Rhinolophus ferrumequinum: one gene and its partner. The protein of the gene in region 1 binds, or shares a complex with, the protein of each later gene. Links are inferred from orthologs where the notes say so. Each region holds a gene or a part of one and is shown on either strand. Other genes may lie near its edges.

The links.
Region 2: the proteins of ITGAM (region 1) and PTN are in contact, whole or in part, in an NMR structure (PDB 8VOH), measured with the Homo sapiens proteins. The link is inferred for Rhinolophus ferrumequinum from reciprocal best matches to the Homo sapiens genes ITGAM and PTN. Residues at the interface, in NP_000623.2 of Homo sapiens: Pro273, Asp276, Arg277, Gly279, Val280, Ile281, Arg282, Tyr283, Lys306, Pro307, Arg309, Asp310, His311, Ala334, Ile335, Glu336, Gly337, Thr338, Gln339; in NP_001308315.1 of Homo sapiens: Val56, Pro57, Thr58, Ser59, Asp61, Cys62, Gly63, Leu64, Thr66, Glu68, Thr79, Lys81, Thr82, Gln83, Arg84.

Annotation. Positions count from the first base shown.
Region 1 is NW_022680357.1:178,814-186,527, forward strand, and holds the start of ITGAM (integrin alpha-M), read right to left. Parts: upstream 3,013-7,714; 5' UTR 2,988-3,012; coding exon 2,861-2,987; intron 1,742-2,860; coding exon 1,636-1,741; intron 1-1,635.
Region 2 is NC_046309.1:11,293,358-11,300,885, reverse strand, and holds the start of PTN (pleiotrophin), read right to left. Parts: upstream 3,020-7,528; 5' UTR 2,642-3,019; intron 1-2,641.

The sequences.
Region 1 (7,714 bases):
CGAACACCGCCACCCGAATGACCGGATTAAGCAGAAAAAAAGGCCCCAGACACCATGAAGCTAAACACGTTCTATCCCACAGCCACCTTGCGGCGATGGCTTTGGGTCCTGCTTCTTGGGCCCACACTTTTACCTCTGTTTCACCAAAATCTCTCTCTCCTTATCTAGGAGCTGAGGGGACACAAGTGATGCCCCAGCAAGACTTCCAGTACATCCCAACCGAAGAGGTCAACAGGGCCTTTCGAGCCGTCTCGAGACCCCTTCCCCTCCTCGAACATCAGATAGGGCGAGAGTCCCGTGAATCCCCAATACGCAGGGACAATGGCCACAGTCAGCAGGAGGCAGATACAGAAGAGGCAATCTCCTGTCCCTCAAGTTCCCACAGATTTATGGGGATCACATCTCTCCAGGGGGACATAAGGCAGGCAGTTAGAGATAGGAATTGGGTCTCTGAGACGCCCGCCCGAACACATCAGGTAACATTCCTGCACGTCCAACATGGCCTAGGACCGCCCAGACCTCTCCTTTAGCTACTATAACCACCATGAACCACTGGGAGGGAGTTCAAGGATACAAAGCACCCAACTAGATTAAACAGGCCACTCACACCTAGGCCACAGTGACCTTCATTTCACCTGGGCCTCATTATACCATCATTATAATATCATGCATTTGCCCGGAAGTTCATTAATATCATTATAACAGACTGAATTCTGGGAAGGAACATGCACAGTCTAAAAAAATGAGATAATCGCCTCTTGTCAATCACAGGTGTCAATCAAGTGATCCCACACCCAGAAAGGAACAGCCCATTCTGGAGAAAAGAAAAGAAAAACTCCAAGTCCTCGCCAGTCGGCTCCTTTTGAGCCACTGTGTTGCCCGGCCCGATCCCGACCCCATCTCTTTGGAGTGTACTTTGGCTTCTAATAAACTGCTCTCTTACACTGCCTTTTGGTGTCCCGCTCAATTCTTTGTTTGGGATGCCAAGAACCTGGACACCACACTGAGAAGAGTCTGCTCTCCAGTAACAGAAGCATAAAAGTAAGCTCTTTGTGCACTTATCTGGTAAGATTACCGAGCTCTACTAAGAAAACCAAATGCAAAGGACCGTATAGAACAGAAACCAGCAAACTTTGTCTGCAAGGATACTACTATTTCCATAAATATTATTTCTGTAACGGTAAATATTTCAGGCCATGCGGTCTTTGTCACAACCTCTTGATTCTGCCATTGTAGCACCAAAGCAGCTGGAAACAATAAATGATGAGTTGGGGCACAGAGTTGGAGGGGTGGGAATAATAAAACGTTATTTACAAAAATAGGCAGCAGCATAGTTTAAATGTAACATGTGCTACAAATTGTGTGTGGGCTGGGGTTGGGGAAATGTGGACGTCTGCCCAGCAGAGACCCTCTCTGGAAGAATGCACAGAAAAACCCTCCTAGGACGGGAACTGGGGAAAGCAGTGTGGAGGATTTTTCACTGCTAGACTCTTGTGTCTTTTGAATTAAGAACCCTGTCATTGTATGACCTATTCAACACTAGATCAAGGAAAATAAAACAACATCAAGGAAATTACGTTTTCTTTCTGATACGCAGGTCTTAGAGGGAAAGCCTGTGAGACACGCAGCCCTTACCGGGATCCCTCAAACTGGACCACACTCTGCCCGAAGCTCCTTGTGTTCGCTTGAAAGATCTTTGCGTTTTGAGTGTCCAGGTTGAACCCATGACACAAGCCCAAGGCTGGAAGAAAAAAAGGAATGAGGATCAGGTGCCGGTGGGGACGTAGTTAAGAAAGCAGCTTGTCCATCTTCCTGGCAGGATTCACCCTAACCCAGCACAGAGATGTCTGCTTCCCAGATCCAGTTCCAATGGCCTGGGGCAGAGGTCAGTGCACTTTTTCTCTAAAGGGCCAGAGAGTAGATATTTTAGACCTTGGGAGCCAACGACCTTGGGGGACGTAATATAACAAGAGAGAAAATGTGTTTCCAGAAATTTGTCATTAAGGAAATTCAAAATATAATAATTGAGCTCCCCCCCTTTTTTATTTGTAATTACAAATTTGCTAATAAGACCAATGGAATTCTTTGGGGGGGGATCTAACATTTCACTTCATTGGGATTCCAAATTAGTGTGCCCAGTCACAAATCGATTACAAGTGTGCACCTGCAGCCTGTGGTTGCTCTCAGACTGTACAGAAACAGGAGGTGCAATCCCTGCCTCATGCCCCCAGGACAGTTTTGCCACCACTACCACTGGTGCTTCCAGCCCCCCGCCGAGCTCCACTGTTGACCTGACCAACAAACAAGTTCCTAAACCCTCCCAGTTAGGCAATTTCCTTCCTGTGCAACTCACAAGCATTTCTTTTCCTTCTTTGACCCATTTACCACAAGACACAGGCATATAAGGAAGTAATGTCATTATGAGTGGTCAGTCATTCGACAAGCATTCGTACCAGGGTCCTTGAAAAATAGAAGTGGAGGCAAAGTGGACGTGGAACCCAAAAAGAAACACTCAGAAAGGAATCTGGTACTGGCTGCACACCCTGGGGCATGTCATTTCATCTCTCTAAGCCTCAGTTTCCTCATCTGTGACATCAAGGGGCCAACCGAACCCCCTCAGATCAATCGCCCATGAATTTAGCCGTTCACCTGGGCTTCTCTGGTCATGCCATCTTGGGCTAGCTCTGCTCTGCGCTCCTACAGGACTCCCTTATCCCGCCCCAATTCGCTTTATCTCTCCCCAGTGTAACTCCTAGATATTCTACATCCCTTCTAGATATTCTACTTGTGAGTAGAGACTCACAGTCTCAAAAGTTTTCCTCATCATCACGTAAGCCCCACCCTCAGACCCCTGGCCCACCTGTTAACAGAAGGACTCGGTGAATCATAGCTGAAAGGAGCAGGAATCCCGGGGCTGCAGGTGCCACGGAGCCACTTGAAGAAAGCCAGCAAGGACAGAAAAAGAGAACTAGAAAGCAGGAATACATTAGAGGCTCAAAGGAAGAAGGCGGAGGCTCAGAGAGCACACAGCACAGCTTGACCATCCCCCCGGGGCTGCCACAGCTTATGCTTCCTCTCTCCCCAGCGTCCGAGCCCAAACCACCACGGTCACTATTTCAAAGGTGTTGCTTGTTTGTCCACCTGCTTCCAGGGTTGGCCAAAGCATCATGAAAAGCCAGCTGCATAGATGGAAGGGCCTGCGTCCTGGAACATGTACTCTAAACATTAATTCAGACCAAGCAAATGTGGGAGATCACCCTCTGTGTCTCCCTGGAAGCACACTTTACAAAGTCTCTTTCCCCCCTGCCCAAGGAAACAGGAGAACCCTTCAGCCAGAATTGCCCTCCTTTGTAGACTTCAATACGGACAACTCCGGTACAGAGAAACCTAGTACTTTTGGAATAATATTTGTGTTTTTTAAAGCCTCAAACCCTTGGAAATTGCCCAGGAAATTTCACTTTCCAGAAGTTATCCTAAAAAGTCGCTGAGATGTACAGTCGAACATGGACGCCTAAGCTTGTGCTTTGCAGCATTGCTATTAATAGTGAAACATTAGAATGGCCTAAAAATCCAACAACAGAAAAATGGTTGAGCGATGTCTCACCCTGTGATATGTCCTTACCTTCCATCTAGTGACTTCAAAATCTGTTTCAAAGACACAGGAGCATACTTGAAATACATAGAACGCCAAACCATACCTTGTATCCCTCCAGTCCAATGTCAGAAAGCTGAGCGTGCGTTCCAGGAGCAGCTCGCATCCAGCTTTCAGCAGCAAGGGTGGGCAGTGAGACCTCACCCCCAAAATATTGGGGGTAGTGCTCTGTTGATTGCAGCTCCTGATCTCAGAAGTTCAAGCACAGAGGTGAGCAGCCATTGTTGAGCCCATCTCATTTTGAAAGCCTCTCCACCTCTGGCTGAAGCAACTCCCAGGGGATTTAAAGGCTAGCGCTTCCCCCCCTAATAAGTTCTTAAGACCTTAAGATCCCGGGCTGATCCCTGGCACAAAGACAGCCTATAGCAATAAAAATAAAATAACAGCAAACCCTGGGAAAGGAGAATAATCTGATTTTGTATTATTAGATTTGTTTGCCTAGTTTCCAACAACAACAAAAAAATCACAAGGCAATCCAAGAAACCAATTGCCTTTGATTGCCAATCTTTGAAAGCATGGCCCATTCAAAGAAAAAAAAACAAAAAGAAAACATTCCAGAGAAAGACCAGATGGCAGACTTACTAGAAAAGTACTTTAAAGCAACTCTCTTAAAGATGCTGAAGTAACTAAAGGAAGACACTGAGAAAGTCAAGAAAATGATGTACGAACAAAATGGAAATATCAATAAAAAGGATACCTAAAAAGAAACCAAAAGGAATTTCTGGAGCTGTAAAGTACATTAACTGAAATGAAAAATTCACTACAGGGATTCAAAGGCAGGTTTGAGCAGGCAGAAAACTGACTCAGAAAACTTCAAGATAGGACAATTGCAGTTCCTGAGTCTGAGAAATAGAAAGAAAAAAGATTGAAGTGAAAAGAGCCTAAAGGACCAGTGGAACACCATCAAGCTGACCAACGTACACATTGTGGGAATGCCAGAAGAGAGAAAGAAAGTGTCAAAGAGATTATTTGAAGAAATGATAGCCGAAAAGTTCCCAAATTTTATGAAAGACACGAATACAAATATTGCAGAACCTCAACAAAGTCCAAGTAAGATGAACTCAAAGAGGCCCATACCAAGACATATTATAATAAAACCATCAAAAGACAAAGACGGAGAGTCTTGAAAGCAACAAAAGTGAATGACCACATATTAGGGATCCTCAACCTGATTTCTCATCAGAAACTTGGAGGCCGCAAGGCAGTAGGCTGATGGACTCAAAGTACTGGGGGGAAAATATCAACCAAAAATTCTGTATATGGCAAAACTGCCCTGCAAAAGTGAGGGAGAAACCAAGATATTCCCAGATAAACAAAACCTGAGGGAGTTCGTTACCACTAGAACTGCCCTGAAAAAAATGCTAACGGGATTCCTGCTGGTTGAAATGAAAGAACACGAGACAGAAACTGGAAGTTGTATGAAGAATAAAAGATCTCAGTGAAGGTAAATACACGAATTATGAAAGTTAGTATTATGTATTGTAACAATGGTGTGTAACTCCTCTTTTATTTTCTACACGATTTAAAAACTTTTTAAAAACTATTCATTTTTAAGGCATTTTTTTTTTAAAAACGATTAGTCTAAAAGCTAGTAGTATTGTAGCTTTGGTTTGTAACTCCACATTTTGTTTTCTATATAATTTAAGAGACCAATACATTTTAAAAAAACAATTATTCATCTACAGTTTTGGTCACACAATGTATAAAGATGTAATTCTGTGGCATAAATAACTAAAATGAGATGGGGACGGAGCTGTATAGGAACAGAGGTTTGTATGTCATTGAAGTTAAACAGATATAAATTCAAATTAGAACGTTATAACTTTAGGATGAAGTTATAAATGAAAGTTATAAATGAAGTTATAAATGAAATCCCGATGGTAACCATTAAGAAAATAAATAAACAATATACACAAATGGAAATGAGAAAGGAATTACAATGTCTCACTGCGGAAAAAAGAAAAACTAAACACAAAAGAAGACAGAAATGCAGGAAATGAGAGCGATAAAAGTTATAAGGCATGTCAGAAATTAATAGCAAAATGACAGAGGTAAATCCCCCAACCTCTTCCCCTCTGGAAACCACCGATCCAACTCATAGATTCAAACAGTTTATTACTTACGTCGACGGCAAAAACAAATTTCCCACGGTTCTTTGCCCAGCAAAAAGGATGGCATCAGAATAGGGGTGCTATGGGCCGGCCTGGTGGCTCAGGCGGTTGGAGCTCTGTGCTCCCAAGGCTGCCGGTTCGATTCCCACATGGGCCAGTGCGCTCTCAACCACAAGGTTGCCGGTTTGACTCCTCGAGTCCCGCAAGGGATGGTGGGCAGCGCCCCCTGAAACTAAAATTGAACATGGCACCTGGAGCTGAGCTGCGCCCTCCACAACTAAGACTGAAAGGACAACAACTTGACTTGGAAAAAAGTCCTGGAAGTACACACTGTTCCCCAATAAAGTCCTGTTCCCCTTCCCCAATAAAATCTTAAAAAAAAAAAAAAAAGAAAAGAAAAGAAAAGGGAGGCTATAATCTAGACCAACAGACAACGCAGTTTTAGTCTATAGTTCTATTGGTGATGGCCCCAGAGCAGCTCCTCACAGGCACCCGCACCCCCACCCCCACCCCACCCCGTTCTCTCTGTTCTGGGAAGGTCACAGGTATTCTGCCAAACCTCAGACGATCTGTGGTCAAACCTTTGCTTTCGTGGCTGGTGTGGTAGCACCGGGGGCCAGGGCTCCATGGCAGAGCTGTTCCTCCACATTCAGCAGATGGCAACCACGACTTTCCACTTAGTCCCAAAGTCTCAGGAAATCCTAGGGCACTACCTTCTAACCAGCCTCGCTATTAGCAGAAGTGTGGAAGCCACCCCCATGCCACCTGGACTACGGCTTAGCCCTTTCCTGTGCCCCACTGTCTCTCTACTCCGCCCCCGCCAAGTCAGTTTTCAGCACAGTAGCCAGAGGGATCCTTCTAGAACACAAGCCATATATTGTTCCTCTGCTCAAAACCTTACAAAGTCTCCTTGCCTCACGGGGAGCAAGCCAGCCCTTTCCACAACCGATAAGGCCCTGTGAGACCTGCCACCATGGCCTCCCTGAGCTCATCTTTTCTTTGACCCCTTGCTCCTTCTATTCCAGCCATGCTGGCCTCCTTGAGGCTCCTCAGACATGCCAGGAACACTTCCATCTTAAGGCCATCACACTGGCTGTTCCCTTTGACTAGACTGTTTTTCCCCAGGTATCTGCATGGCTCACTCCCTCTCACCTCCTCCAAATATGTGGGTTTTGTATCACAGGACTCTCTATATTCAACTTCACAAACCCTTTCTTGCCATGTTTCTTCTCCCAAATTTCTCTGGCTTTGCCCTCAAAATAATGAAGGTGGTAGGGTCTCCGTCATCTCCCTTTGCCCCACGTGGCACCCAGGATCATGACTTCTCTCTTCCCAACACAATCTCCCAGACCCACCTGTCCGAATCTCTGTCCCTTGGCTACACAAACAATTTACCTCTGTCTCAATACCTCCAATTTGTTTGACCCACACACGATCTAGCCCCCTGGGAAGTACAAATAACAAAATATTGTTTTTCCATTACACCGAATTGCCAGTCAAGTTTTCACCCGAATATCCTTCTCAGCAATCTAGTTAAGGCTTTGGGGTGATAAAAGTGAACTGGCATCTTAAAATGCTCAAACCACAGAGCTGTGAGGACTATGGGTGGAGCTGGGCCCCTTGTTGACTCTTTGATCCTGACTTCCGGTTGGACTTTGTGGTACCTTCCGGGGGAGGGATGCTAATAAATAGAATAGCTGTCTTGGAACCGGGTTATTCTTCTTCACGTGGGCAGTCAGCTGGAGCCCCAGGTGGGAGGTGTGTATTCCCGCACTGCAGAGGTGGTTTTTGTTTCTTTTTCTTTTCCCGAATAAACCGCTCTTTGGGTGGATTTTCTGGTGAGTCATTTTTGCCAGTCGACAGGAGTCTGGGGCCAGACTACAAGGGGGTTAAAATCCTACCTCTGTGATTCTTGAGGACGTGATTCTCTGTATCGCACTGTCTTCATCTG
Region 2 (7,528 bases), on another chromosome or scaffold:
GACTCAGCCTGAGGCTCCAGGGTGAACACACCTTAAACAGCACTGAGGAGCACTCAGGTGTCAGACGCTTTTGCTCCCTCATCACCCTGGGGGGCGAGGTCTCTGTTTGGACACTGCCTTCAAGAGAGAAGTCAAGAACAGCTCCCCTTATCGCGATGCCACCATATCAAAAAGCACAAGTGTTGGGAGAACTAGAACTGACATTCTGAATTCTGCCTTCTGGCCCTCCATCTACTGTTAACTTACTGCACTGTTGTGAACAAGCCAAGGAAACTCAGTCTCCTGAGAAGAGTTTGATTAGTAACAAACACACCATATGCCAAATAGGAATAGGATCAGAATGCATGCGAGGATGTCATTTAAATGAGAAAGCAAGAGTATCTTCAAAGGGGGGGAATTTAGCTTAAAATATTTAATTTCTAAGATTGATTTTAGTGATAAAAACGATTAAACTATTTGGGGACTTTACCTCTCTCGTCAGGTTGTTTCCAAAGATTAGGTTTTGTGAAAATTCAAATGAGGCTATTGACTTACTGGAATGAAAAAAAAAAAAAAAGAAAATGTGGGCTTGCCATATGCAAAGATTAAATAAGGTACATGATGGAAACTTTCAATACATTAGTAAATTGATTACTCCAAACGTCATGGAAAGAGGTCTCGGAAACCACACAAGTATGTAATATATATGTTATACTATGCTTACTGTTAAATGAGATTCTCATTTAAATACCTCATTTAAAAATTAGATAATAAAAAGTGACCTGGTAACAGTAGTTTCATTTCTCTCCCAGCTCTAGATTTGAAAATATAATACAGTTGTATTCACAAATGCGCAGCTGCAATACAGCACCTAGTGTGCTCTGTATGGCTTCAGGTGGGCGGTCCTAGTAGACGCCCTTCCCTAAATGAGAAAACTGTCCTAAAGCAGGCCTGGGAACAGCAGGAGAGGGAAGATTACCTCCTGCAGATTTAGAGTACAATTACAGAATTCGAAGCACACACGTTTCCTAAAGCATAGAATAATGGCAGTAATCATGTTTAAATAAAATAATACAAAATTTCATCCTCTACTTTAAATGAGAAAATACCAGTCTTGCCACTCTGAAATAACTCATGTCCCAAAGGCGGGGGAAGAGATACTATCCACTCTGATTTCCTTTGACTGGAACTAGATGGTAAATGTTTTTCAGTGATTTGGTCTTTAAAGTACATAATTGACTTTAAAAGGTGCATAACGAAGATGGAAAACACAAGTTTGATTTTCTGTGCTGGGAGATACTCCCATGACCTTGTAATATTTCTACCTATCAATTCATGCCCAGATGGTCAGGGGCGAACTGGGCTCCACTGTTTCATCAAGTCCACATTTTCCCAGGATCGTGAAATAGCTTCATGATGTTATCAGTTCAAAAGCTCTGAGTCTCCTCCCAGGCCCTTCCCTCCAACACACACACACACACACACACACACACACACACACACACACACACACACACACACCCTTTGCTCAAGCTGCTACAGCAAAACGCCTGCTACGTCGAAAGATGCTCAAAGACTGGGGCTTGGTGTCCTTCATATTGTCCCTGCTCTCCTCTCAGGGCCACCCCTCCCCCCAAATGCCACTCCTAGTTTTTTCAATGCATCCCCAAATTTACAAAGCAGTTGTTAACAGAGATAGGGGTAAGTTAACAATAGAGTGTATATAAACTTGGTGTGTGTTCTTTCTTGAGTTTGTATGTGTTGTGTTAAGGACAAAGGTGTGTGTGTGTGTGTGTGTGTGTGTGTGTGTGTGTGAGAGAGAGAGAGAGAGAGAGAGAGAGAGAGAGAGAGAGAGAGAGAGAGAGAGAGGAAGTTTTATGTTCTGTTGTTCTGTGTATTAACTAGGGAAGGAGTTGAATACATTCCTCTCTTTAAAAATATTTTTCTTAATAGAAACATCAACTCAGAAACTAAGAACCTGAAATTAGTGATAAATATACCCTAGCTTTAGGTGGATGAAATAAAAAGTTCAAATGCCTGTGTACAGGGCAGTTATTCAAATTAGCATCCAAATGGGAGATGGGGTTAAAGGTGTGTCTTTTCAACTTTGGACGTATAATCATTTCTAAACCCATTCCTGGGCTGGCAGGCAGGACAAGGAGTGCTAGATGCTTCGTGTCCGCTGGCACTGGGAGGAACCAGCCCCCATATGGAGTCTAGAAATGCCAGCTAAGAGTCACCAGCCCGCAAGGCGACCAGAGAGCAGAGAAAGGATGGGGAAAGGAGGCCTGCTTGCCCAGGTGCCTTACTTTCCCTCTCTTCCCTACCCAGCCACAGACACACCTACTTAGGCAGGTTTTACAAAGAGTGAAGCCCCTGCCATCTCCTCCAGCTGGTAGCAGGAACACTGGACAAATGCATGCGTGCCTTCCACTCATTTCTGGGCACCCTAAGTCTCCTGACCTGACTCCCCCAAAATATACCTCAATTTGCCTCCGGAGCAAATCAGTTCTGAAAGCAACCGCATCAGGAAAGCCACCAAGGCAGCCAGCGTCTCTCCCGCTCCTACCACCATCATCTGCTGGCGCCTCGAAAAGTGGCAGGAGGCGAAGGAAACTCGATGGGATTCACCTGGGAGACTCGCGCATCCCTTTGCACTTACTTTGAGTTGCAAACGTGCTTTCTGCGCTCAGGCTGCCTTTGTTGTTGAAAGGGGCGAGGTTTGCTGCTGGGGTCCAGGTACCCGAGTCGCTGCGGCTGGCGGCGCGGTTGCTGCTCCTGGCCGGTGACTCACTGGCCTCTTTCTTCCCCTGGCTCCACTTTGGGGTTTCCTCGACTCTGCGACTCCCTTGGCGGGATTTTCGGATTGGAAGGCGGGGAACCTGATCCTGCCTTGGACTCAATTCCGCCCCGCCAGGGAGGGAACGGAAGGGAAGTGGAGAATGGGAGGGCTGAGCAGAGCGGGCTGGGAGAGGACGCAGGCCCCGCGAGGGAGGGAGCGCGCCTTGCCCTCGCGAGCTGATTGGGAAGCTTATTAAAAGCAGAATTCTCCAGGGGCAGGCGCTCCCCGCAGGAGCACGCTCACCGATTTGAACCGAGAGGCCAGGAATGGAACCTGGCTTTGTTTTTAACAGAGATCGACACACTCTTTCTTTTTCCAACTTTCTGCAAGACCTGTTCTTTAGGTGGGTGCACCAGGCCAGTTACTCAAGTGGGGCATCTCAAATGGACGATCGATGGCATTTTAGGTGATAAGATTGGCCCCGATGTTTAAAAAATGATATTCAGAATTTAAAAGCACAATCTTCAAAACCATCCTCTCAGTCCTCCCCTCCCCCAAACGCCCTCCCTACACATAGTTCCAGTGACTTCAGCTGTCAGTCCTGTCCCACCTGCAAGTCACAAAACGTGCAAAGCCCGGTGGTGCGCCTGTCACAGAGTGACAGATGTCTGAGAGTTCCCAATTAAATGCTATTTTCCTTTACGGGGCTTTTTCCTTTTTTGGCTTCCTTGGTGCCTTTGGGGACCTATTTAGTGACATGCCTTTGACACCCAAGAATTTAGGGAATTAATCAATGTAGTTCAAACTCGGCAGTGGGGATAGCGGAGTGGGGTGGTAAAACTCAGAGGCTGGGCTTTAAGGCTTTCTGGAGTTTCCATTTTGTTCAAATGAGGAAAGATGCTTAGGTAATACAGCTAGGATTGTTGAAGTAACACAGAGATGGATATTTATGATATAGATGAGATAAAAGCAGTGTGTCAAATGATTACACAAATTACCCAAACATTGTCAAAAAGTAAAGCTTTTGCGATTTTCTGCCACTTGTCAGGTCTTTCTTTCATCTTGCTCCTTTCACTTCCTTTCAGCTTATCATTTGATGGCACCCACCCCAAAAGTGATGGCAAAATATACTTCTGTTTCCCATAGATCTAAGGTCGCATCCCTTCATTGCAGTTTTACAAATATCTATTAAGTGCCTTGTATAATTCTTTTTCTATTATTTTTTTTAATTTGTATTACAGTTGACATCCACATTGTTAGTTGCAGGTGGACACCATAGCGATTAGACATTTATATAACTTACGAAGTGATCAGTCAAACTAAAGATAACATCTTGAACTCAGTCATGTTTGAGCTCCAGGCCCATGAAGGCAGAAGGATCCTACCGGCCGCATCCCCTCAGAACCAGACAGACAGACGCCACGACTGACACCAGGACGTGATCCCATGATCAATTGCCTCCTACCCAGCCCCGACCAAACAGTAGAGCCCACGACCCCAGCTCCCTTAGGTACCATGACTGATGATCTTTCCCCTGTATAACCATCCCCTAGAGGCCATCGGGGAGCCAGGTCTTTGAGCAGTAGCTCACCTATGTCTCTGGGCTTGGTGCCATTTCCTTAAGTAAACTTTGACTTTCTTTGCTGCAAACCCATGTTCGTGTCTCATTCGGTTTTGATGCACGTAGGCAAACGAACCCCCTTTAGTTCGGTAATAGCAGAAACTCAGTGAGGGGAAGTAGGCATCTAGGCTAGAGAAGTAACAGGCCAGATCACGCTCGGCCTTTGTTCACTGTAAGGAATTCCACTTTTATTCTGAATGAGGTGGGAAGAAGCCATTAAGAGTGACAGAAACGGACTCTGCTTCAATAGGGTCTCTGCTATGATGACTAGAACACAGGCGAGCAAAAGTAGAAGCAGAGATTTCAGTTAGGAGGCTGCAGTTATTCATTGTCTAAACTTCTTCCCCTTGTCCCTGTTTCTTGTAAAGAATAACTAACTCCAAACTTGCCCTTTCACACTTTCTCTGTCCCCGAAACCTCCTGTCAGCAGTTTCTTGGCTTATGCTAAGGCTCCCCTTGTTTTCCAGTTCCCAGCCTCTCCAGGTGTAATGAGCCCCCAGCATGCGTGTTACGAGGCTAAAATATAACTAATGCAAGATGATTTGAAATCACAGAAATTATAACATGTCCTAAGGGTGTTGTGAAAATGAGGTCGCTGATTTTGCAGTGACAAATACAAGGAGAAGTGTGATCAGCATGAAATTTAAAAATGTGAAAGAATCAGATGAAAACTTTGTCAGCATGTCTCTTGGGCTGCCTACTGGCAAGATGTTTAGATTCTTGACTACCACTCCGAGTTTTTCAATATTCCTGGAATGCAAAAGGACAATTCATCCAACTTACACAGCTGGATGGAAGTTCCATTAATACATTTCTCTTCCTCTCTCAGAAATAGTTCAAAAGTAATTAAAAAAAAAACACTCATACTTTTTTTTTTTTTATTGCTGTGACTAGATTACAAAACTTCTATCTTTGGTAATATTTGTAATGATTATGCTATTTTTTATTTAAAAACAAAGAAACAAAACAGAAAATGCCACTAAGAACAGTTTAAATAAGTAAGGAATTTGTCTCACAGCAACACAAGCCAGTAAAGTCAGTGTTTCCAAGTCTTCAAGGACCCAGATCTTTCCATCTTTTGACTCTACATTTTCAATTTGTAAACCCAGGCTCTTCAATATCATTTAAAGAGCTTCACCCATATTTGGCTTAAAGTAAATCAGGCCCAAACCTCCATGGAGACTAGGTCAGTTCCCTGGTCATGGAGCCACAGACTATCCCAGCAAAAGGAAGAGGTAAAAAGTATTTGGGAAGCAACCAACAATGCCGGCCACCATTTCTCCCTGATATTTTATAAATGTACACTTTATCAGTCTTTCTTTTATGAATCTAAGTAGCTTGATGTAAGCCCTTCAATCTTGTCTTTCTTGTACAAAACTGCTCACATCAAGGTTCTAAATTTGCAAGGGCCTCGGACAATGGGCTTACCCAGACTCACCCAGCAAATCAGGCCTAAAATACCCAAAGAAGTTTGATCACACCTTACAAGGAAACAAAATCCACAGACCCAATGTCCCTCCTGAGCATAGAAGCAGAATGCTTTAACAAATTTAATTAAATCAATGCCAGTAATGTATTAAAAATGTAATACTGTACATCATCACATTGGCTGTTTGTCCCTCTGTTGCAAGTCTGGTTGTACACATGGAAAATCAAACAATGTAATTCACCATATTGACAGAGTAAGTAGAGGAACAAAAGGAACATATTAAATATATAGGAAAATATTTGAAAAAAAATCCAACACCCATTCGAGATAACAATTCTCAGTGACTTAAGAATATAAATGAATATCCTTGTTCTGATGAGGCATATCTGTGGAAAGCCTCCAGCTAATATGACACTTAATAGTGACAGTGAAAGCTTTCCATCTAAGATTAGGAACCAGGCAAGAATGGCCACTCTTACCACTTTTATTCAATATTGTACTGGAGATCTCAGCCAGTAAAATAAGGCCAGAAATTAAAAGAAATAAAGGAGGCTGCAGTAATCCATTGTCTAAACTTCTTAGACAATGGAAAAAGAAATAAAATAAATAAAAATAATGGAAGGAAGATGTACAACTGTCTTTATTCTCATATGAATAAGTATGCTCATAGAAAATTGACAGGAATGCAAAGGAAAGCTTCTGGAACTAATGTGCCTTCAGCTAGACACAAGTTCAAATTATAAAAATTGATTTTATGTTTATTTCTAGCGATGAACGATTGGAGAATAAAATGTTAAAAATTATATATCAAACTCATAAACTACTTGAGGGATAAATTTAACAAAATATTTTGAAGGCTTATCCACTGAAAAATGCCAAATATTTCTTACGGAAGTTATAGTACTTTTAAAGAAATGGGAGGCTCATTATGTTCATCAATTGGAAAATTTAAGATTGTTAGGATGTAAATTCTCTCCATATTTATCTGTAGAGTCAATACAATCCAAACCAACCCCTTTAGACTCTTTTATAGAAATTAACAAATTGATACCAAAATTTCTCTGGCAATGCAAAGTATCTCAAATAGGCTAATCATTTTTTCAAAATAAAGAACAAAGTTGAAGGATTCACACGCTTGTATCAGGTCCTGCTGTAAAGAAAAAAGAATGAAGAATATTGTGCAATACTGGCATAAAGATAGACTTATGAGTCAACGGAGAAAAACGATCAATTCACACATAGACTCAAACATATTTCAGAGAGGAAAGAGTAGCCTTTCCAGCGAATGGTCCCAGAAGAACTGGATATCTCTATGGAAAGGAATAAACTTTGACATCATAGTGAAAAATTAACTCAACATGGCTCAGAGACCCAAATGGAAAAGCAAATGCTATGAAATTTCTAGAAAAATAGTAGGAGAAAATCCTTGTTACCTTGGAGTAGGCAAAGATTTCTTAGATAAGGCATAAATAACACCAATGGTTATTAAAACATTGGCAAACTGGACTTCATCAAAATTAAAACTTTGCTCTTTGAAAGTCATCATTAAAATATAATAAGAAAGCAATCCTGAGAATGCACAAAAATATTCTCAAAATACACATGTGACAAAAATTGTGTCCCAGGATATTGAAGGGTCCATATAACTCAATAACCAGAAGTCACTCTATCCAACAAAAAAGAATCACCAAAATGTCGCAACAGACACTTCACAAAA